2 linked regions of the Kluyveromyces lactis genome follow. The protein of the gene in region 2 interacts with the protein of the main gene of each other region in a pairwise test. Links are inferred from orthologs where the notes say so. Each region holds a gene or a part of one and is shown on either strand. Other genes may lie near its edges. The genes, in order: HMT1 and SNF2.

What was found.
Region 1: the proteins of SNF2 (region 2) and HMT1 interact in binary tests that used the Saccharomyces cerevisiae proteins (3 or more experiments, as listed by UniProt). The link is inferred for Kluyveromyces lactis from reciprocal best matches to the Saccharomyces cerevisiae genes SNF2 and HMT1.

What each region holds. Positions count from the first base shown.
Region 1 is NC_006038.1:617,136-620,196, reverse strand, and holds HMT1 (protein-arginine omega-N methyltransferase HMT1), read right to left. Parts: upstream 1,830-3,061; coding exon 783-1,829; downstream 1-782. Other genes in the region: KLLA0_B07139g (60S ribosomal protein uL4), read left to right, coding at 1-194; DNA replication protein PSF1, read right to left, coding at 2,232-2,867. UniProt on the Saccharomyces cerevisiae protein: S-adenosyl-L-methionine-dependent protein-arginine N-methyltransferase that catalyzes both the mono- and asymmetric (type I) dimethylation of the guanidino nitrogens of arginine residues in a variety of RNA-binding proteins such as heterogeneous nuclear ribonucleoproteins (hnRNPs) and small nuclear ribonucleoproteins (snRNPs).
Region 2 is NC_006038.1:740,842-745,184, reverse strand, and holds the start of SNF2 (SWI/SNF catalytic subunit SNF2), read right to left. Parts: upstream 2,981-4,343; coding exon 1-2,980. UniProt on the Saccharomyces cerevisiae protein: Involved in transcriptional activation. Catalytic component of the SWI/SNF complex, an ATP-dependent chromatin-remodeling complex, which is required for the positive and negative regulation of gene expression of a large number of genes.

The sequences.
Region 1 (3,061 bases), about 120 kb from region 2:
GAGCCGCTGGTCAAGCCACTCAAAAGCGTACTCACGTCCAAAAGAAGAACCCATTGAAGAACAAGCAAGTCTTGTTGAGATTGAACCCATACGCTAAGGTCTTCGCCGCCGAAAAGTTGGGTTCCAAGAAGGTCGACCAAGCTAACAAGATCAAGCCATCTGCTACTGCTTTGGAAACCTTGAAGCACGATTAAACAAAATAGTACGTTTCTTTCTACTTCACTAGTCTGAAATATATTTTTTTGTATTCAATTGCTACTTCTTCCCAATCCCAAAACAATCTTGTTGTGAGAGAGCTTGAGCTCTGCTTATAGACTAAAATTAGTTTCTACGTATATATCTCTATGTAGCGTCTCTCAAATCATTCATTGTTTTAGCGAGCGTTGTCTTTTTCTTATTGCAAGAGGCGGAGTGAACATTTGTCTATAATGCTTATCAAATTTGCAAAATATAATACATAGAGAATTATATAATCTTGAAGCCTAAGCAGGAAATAATTGGGTGTGGTTGCTAAGTACTGTTACAAACTGCTTGGAATTGCGAGAGGGGCTTTCATTTCCTTTTTATTTTATCTTTGTTTCTTAATGTTAATGATAATAGTGAAGTTCACAATGGAATCGAAGGCATTGAAAGGTTGAAAGAGCTGCATTCCTTCAGAATTAACCAAGTAATAAACATAATCTGAAGGTGATCTGAGCCTCAATGGGAATAGTAAACGAATAGTTTACGTAAAAAGGGCCCCAAATAATGGACTGAGTAAGAAAAACAACATAGCTACTATTTTAATGCATCAAGTAAGTGTTGGTACCCTTTCTTGACCTTTCTTTACCGTCTGGACCAGAGGCCTTGAAATTGTACACGATCTTGATATCCAAATCTCTGTTGTTATCTTTGTTTGGTAAACAGGTCAATTCACCTTCTAGGATATCATTAGCTTCACATTCCAAATCGTCTTCCAAATAGAAGACGGTTTGTTTCCAATGGGTGTATGTAGCATGGGCACCAGTGGAGAAAGTGACAGGTTTGTTACCCTTTGGTGCTGGGAATTCAATATCGAACCATGAAATCAACCCATTAATGAAATCTTGTCTCTTTGCCTGCAATTTAAACTTGCTGTGGAATGCCAAATCTGGGATAGTCACTGTATTAAGATCAAATTCGATTAATTTACATTTGGTAGTATTAACAGAACTGTTTTCCACTGTATCGACCAAAGGTTCTCTTTTCACCAATGGGATAAATGGTGAGTAATCGAACCCATAAACGTCTTGCCAAAAGTTCAGCTTTTCGCCCTTATACTTAGAATCTTCAAGACCAGCAATGTGAATGGAACACTTGTCAGGGAAGATCAACCCACCTTCGACCAAGTAGTTATCACGTGCATACAACACGGTATCCAACATGGATTCGTATAATAAGAAGTAACCCATCCATTCGGAAATAATGATATCAACCTTCTTATAAGGCAACACAACGTCTTCCAATTTACCACGTAACAAAGTGATCTTGTCTGAAAGACCATTCAATTCAACAATTTGCTTAGCCATTTCAATAATACTAGACATATCAACACCAATGACATGCTTAGCACCGTTCTTTGCAGCAAACATAGATAGAATACCAGTACCGCATCCAACATCTAGGACAACCTTACCTTTAAAGAAGTCCTTATTTTGGGCTATAGCGTTACGGTACGAAAGCGTACGCACAGTATCTTGCAACATCTCTTCATGAATACCGAAATGGTCATAAGAGGTGAAATAGTGTTGTTCATACTCGTTCAATTCTTTTTTCTGCGTAGCAGAATCAGTGACATCAGTCTTGGACATCCTTTATTTTATTAGCTTTACAATTAGGAAAGATATGCTCAACAATTAGACTAAAGATGAAACACAAGTCTTGGTATATGTATGGTGACAAATATTATATCCCAATAAGCTGTACACTATACTCAATGCAATCAAACCAATAACCGTTCTAACAAGTTGGTTCCAGATCAAGTACTGTTCTGTTACTTATGCCTCGTTGCCTTAAATACAAAACTGAAAAATTTTTGAAGGCGATGAGCTGCAAGAAAAAGAAATCCAAAAAGAAATCGTGCATTCCCCATAGTGAAAGTGAGGTAAAGCTAGTTAGTTGCATTTGGAACGGTTGCATCAGCAATATCACCAGCAATGATATCTACAGAATTGCAATGAAAGGTGCAGAATTCGGCGAAAAAAGCTGCCTTGCTATATCTTCTGCAGATATCCTTGTTGTATAAGTCTTTCGACGTCGGATTGTCTGACGAAAAATTGGGAATCTTTAATCAGGTTGAATACACCGTACTCTGTTTCTATTTGTCCTGCATCTTTCAATACTCGTACGTCGATGAACACATCGCTCGGCGGTTGTAACATCCCAGTCAAATCGATTTCTGAGAGTTCTCCCGATTTCAATTCGGTAAGTAGTTGTGCATACTCTTTGAGATACTCTTGTTCTGCATGTGATAAAACAGAGGAATCAAACGATGATAGATTCGGGTGGTTTGATATGGCAGAAGAAAATTCCATCCCGTTGTTATCCCAAACCATTGAGTCTAGCATCTCACTTCTCATCTTTTGGTATGCTAATAGACATCTTTTGTTTCTTTCCATCGAAAGCATAGCAACGACGTACTGGCATTGAGCGACTTTGTTATCCTGATCAGTAAGCTGCTGTTCTCGTAGGTAATCCACGTTCTTCTTGAGGGATCCAACCTCTTTCAGGATGCCACGGACTAGCTCGTCTTGATATACTGGTAATTGCTGTTTGTTGAATCCAGCTTGAGATAACTGTTGCGTTCTCTTTGCTTCTAGTATCAACTTGTTAGCGAGATCTCCGTACATTTTCGGTACTATGGCAATGATAATCAAAACCAATGACTTGAATCCAGTTCCAGGTCTTTTAGCACGTTCTTTTCCCTCTGTGTTATCTCTGTAAAAGTTGTTCATAGCTTTTCTCTTCTCTAGATTGAAATCGCTTTGAGGAAAACACGTAAAATTTAAGGACTTTAACGTGAAACGATACTGTTTAGACGCGA
Region 2 (4,343 bases):
TTGCTGGATTGATTTGATCTTCCACTTCTTCGAATACGAACGGATGATTACAAATCTTCCTGAGTTGCATGATTTGATTGTTAAACCCACGAGAACTAGAGAACTTCTGGTTACTTGAATCATCAAAAATGAATAGCCTACGATGCTTCAACATCTGTTGGTATAATTTGTGTTGTAATGCACTCATCTTACATTTCAAAACCTTTTCTACTTTATCAGGAAGATCTTTTTCAACATCTTTCTTTAAACGACGAAGCAAGAAAGGTCTGAGTACCTTATGTAATCTTCTAATGACCAATAAAGTTTCTTCTTCGCTCAATGCTATCTTGTCTTGACCACCAGTGTTTGCAAACGGTGTATTGAACCATTCATCGAAAGATTTCACAGAATTGAAAATTTTTGGCAAAACGAAGTTTAAAAGGGCCCATAGTTCTGGCAAATTATTCTGTAAAGGGGTACCAGTCAAAATCAAACGATAATCAGAATGATAATATGTGTTCAAAGTTAAAGAAAGCTTAGATTGAGCGTTCTTCATTCTGTGACCCTCATCAATAATTGTGTGAACCCATTTTATCTTAGAAAGTAATGGACGCTCTTTGATAATATATTCGAAGGTTGTTAACACTACATCAAATTCACGATTTTTGATTAACGCTTGTTTAGGTTTACGTTCCATTGGAGGACCCTTGAAAGCTATCTTCCGCAACTTAGGTGCCCATTTATCAAACTCTGCATTCCAGTTGGTCAAAGTGGATAACGGAACAATAACTAAAAATGGACCATGGACCCCCTTAGCTTCGTACAAGTAGGTTAAAAGAGAAATTGTTTGAATAGTTTTACCTAGACCCATTTCGTCTGCTAAGATACCGTTCAAGTGGTTATTGAAAAGAGACACCATCCACTGTAGACCTTTCAATTGATATTCTTTCAAAGTACCACCTACAAGGATGGATGGTTGTTGTTTCACTTCTTCCTTGATACTATGAGCAACTTCATAATAATCGATTCTCTCACGTTCCAAGTCATCATCAGAGTCTGCTCCGTTTTTATCACCCACGTTGTCTTCGCTAAGTTCCTGAGTGTCAAGGTGAGATTCGATCTTATCTTTAGTGAAAGACTGTTGATCCTTAACAGCTTTGGTTAAAGAATCCAAGAAAGTGTTAGTCTGTTTCAACAAATGCGTAATTCTTGTGTCCTTTGTCTGATCCAACAACTTAATATATGCTTCTTCATCGTTAGCTTTCAATGCTTGCAAACGTTGTTTGGCATTTCTTTCAATTCTTTTCAATTCTTCTTTTTCCAAGTTCGTGTGTAAGTTTATCAACCTGTGACCTAACTTAACACGCTGAGCTTTTTTATCTATTCTCAAATCATGTATCGATTTACAACGGTCCAAGATTGAATTCAATTTAGAAGATTTTTCAAGTTGTTGTTTTTCGTACTGTTGTAATTCTCGTGATTTAAACAATTCTCTAGTCAACAAAGCATCTTGAATGTTTAAACCACGATTTTTGGATAAAAAGTTAGGATGAATATTAGTGAGAAGTGTGCTTTGATACCATTCAAATGACAATACATAACCTCTAATAGCTTTTTGTAAAGGAAGTAACTGCATTGCATTATAGTCCATAATCAATTCCCCTTTATCCTTTACTTGAGAATCTGATTCTAATAGTTGTTGCAAACAAAAATCCAGTGATGTATCTAAATCCAAAGCGATGAGAGTTTGGTAAGTTTCCATAGCAGACCTTGGATCCAGACCAACGGGTAACAGACTGGGGGTGATAGAAAGATTTTGTTGGTTAAGAAGATCCGTATAACTAATTGGTGGTACCAACGGTGTGGAGCCTGGAATGCCGCCTTGTTCTGGGTACGAGAAACAATCCACCATAATATGCGGTGAAGCTACGTCGATGTACTTTTCTATATCTTCATGTTGCTTCTTGTATGTGGATAAAAGAGCGGGAGGTTCTTGTTTTGGGGGGTCCTGGTCCGGAATAGGAGGAGAAATAGGGCGCGAAGGTTCCACCATTGGGGACTGAACTGCCATAGGAGTGGGTTCTGACGTCACTATAGGAGAAGCTGGGTTTATATTTGCCGTGGTATTTACCAGTTGAGCAGGCATGTTATTTTGTACAAGTGGTTGCGAAGCTGCTGCTACTGGTGATTCCACCTTACCCTTTTTGGGTTGACGAACCTTCTGTACTGGTTTCTTCACGCCTTGGCGTACCTGAGGCGAAAGCTTCTGCTGCGGTACATTATTCTGTTGTTGTTGTTGTTGTTGTTGTTGTTGTACTGGAGGTTGCATCTGCTGGCCAGCATTATGAGCTTGTAAATCGGCACTCAACGCCAGTAGAATGGATTTGAAATCCAGTAAATTGGTCAAAGACCGATCAATGACCATCATAATCTCTGGTGGTACGACCATGTGGTTAGCCATCATCTTAAGAGATTGGATCTGTGCCTTCAACAAGAGCGACTGTTCATCTGTGAACAAAGACCGTGATGATGACGCGTTATTATTATTATTATTATTATTAGAATTAGAATTAGAATTAGAATTGGTGCTAGCTGGCGTATTCACTCCTACTGTTAGACCAGAAGCCGGCGCGATCGGCTGAGGTCCTACCTGTGGTGACATATGTGGTGGTGGTACCGCTGTTGCTGCTACAGGGCCCATACCATTACTGCCAGGGGTATAAGCAGACGGAGTCGGTATGTTATTCGGCGAAGCCGAACTAGCTGCTGCTGCTGTTGTTGCATTCTGCAATTGCTGCTGCTGCTGTTGTTGTTGTTGTTGTTGTTGTCGCTGCTGCTGTTGTCTGGCAGCCATCCTCAACACAGCCGTATAGTACTGGTACTCCTTCATAGACTCGACATTCGCACCATGTTCGTTACGAAGCTGCTGCCACCGCAGGTAGCAACGATTAATCTCTTCACGCGTATATTCCCTCCTGGGAGGACTGAACTCTAAATCCATTGCCAAAACAGGCCTATCGCAACACTAATACTAATACTATTACCAGTAATAAAAACGCTTGTCACTAGCAAAGAGAGCAAAGCAATTCTTAATTCAAGCCGAAGCTAAAGGATAAACAAAAAACAGAAAAAGTACTGCTTAGCCGCCGACGATATGGCACTGCAGACTATCCGAAAAGTAAAATACCAACCGAAGGAAGTTACCTTAAACACACGCAAAGCCTGTATGCACAACGGTTCTGTTGTTTTCTGTGTTTATTTCCCTTCTCCGTTTCCGTTTACTAAAGTTATTTTGTTTATGTTTTACAGCGTAACACAAAAAAAAATTTTTTTTTTGTGTAAATTATTCGCTTTTGTAATCATGCTTTCTGTGTGAATTTTGACTGGCACTGGGGCTTAAAACATGGGTTTAAAGCACACTTTAAGGCAAGTTTAAGACATACGTTTGAGGCGTTAAGAGTATGTCGGGATGGAACTGGACAATAGCTGCGGAATATACAAGATGACGTGCTGCATGTGTGTATATAAGATACATAGATATGGATATACATTTTAGGGATGTGCGCAGTACATGCAAGTGTACAGTGGAATCTGATATGGATTGAATGGATATAGTGACAGACCCCCCCCCCCCCCATCCCATTCGTCTTGTGAGAAATTAAGTGAAACAAGAAAGGCACAGAGAGTGAATTAGAGACTGAGGTAAGACTAAGTATGACTTGCTGCTATGCTGATTCTGTGCCGGGCCTTAGATGCATAGGAAGTAACGTGTGGATACCTCTTTTTTTTATTTCTGCTTATTCTTTCTTTCCACCGATTCTATCACTTCTCTGTTCTATTTCTACATCATTTGTTGCCCTGTGCAACTAGGCTTTTGATTTCTGATCGTTCACTAGTGCAGGCAGTAGTGTGACTAGTAGAGTAGATTAAATACTCATTCTCCGTCTCTCTCGGAACTGAACACATCGGTAGGGGGGTTTTTGCTATGTTACGTTATATGTTATGTAGCTGTACCAGATAGGAAATGGAAGAGAAGGAAGGGGAAATTGGAAATTAGAGAATGGTCTTTGAAAAGAAAAGCTGCCTTTCTCTGTGTTAATCTCATGTTCTATGTATGTGTACGAGGTTATTTGCCCCACTCATTTGGCAAAAGCTAATTCCAATTTTTTTTTTTTACGTTGACAAGATACATGACCGTATTTGATTGCGGAATTAGACGGGATCAAAACTGGTTAGTTAAGTAATCAATTCTGTTCTATTCTCTATCAATCCGACAGTAGTACTTTTTTTTCCTAATTACCATATCATAAGATGTCGAGGTGAAATTAAGTTGTGCTTCTCTTTCTCTCTCTCTTTTTTTTTTT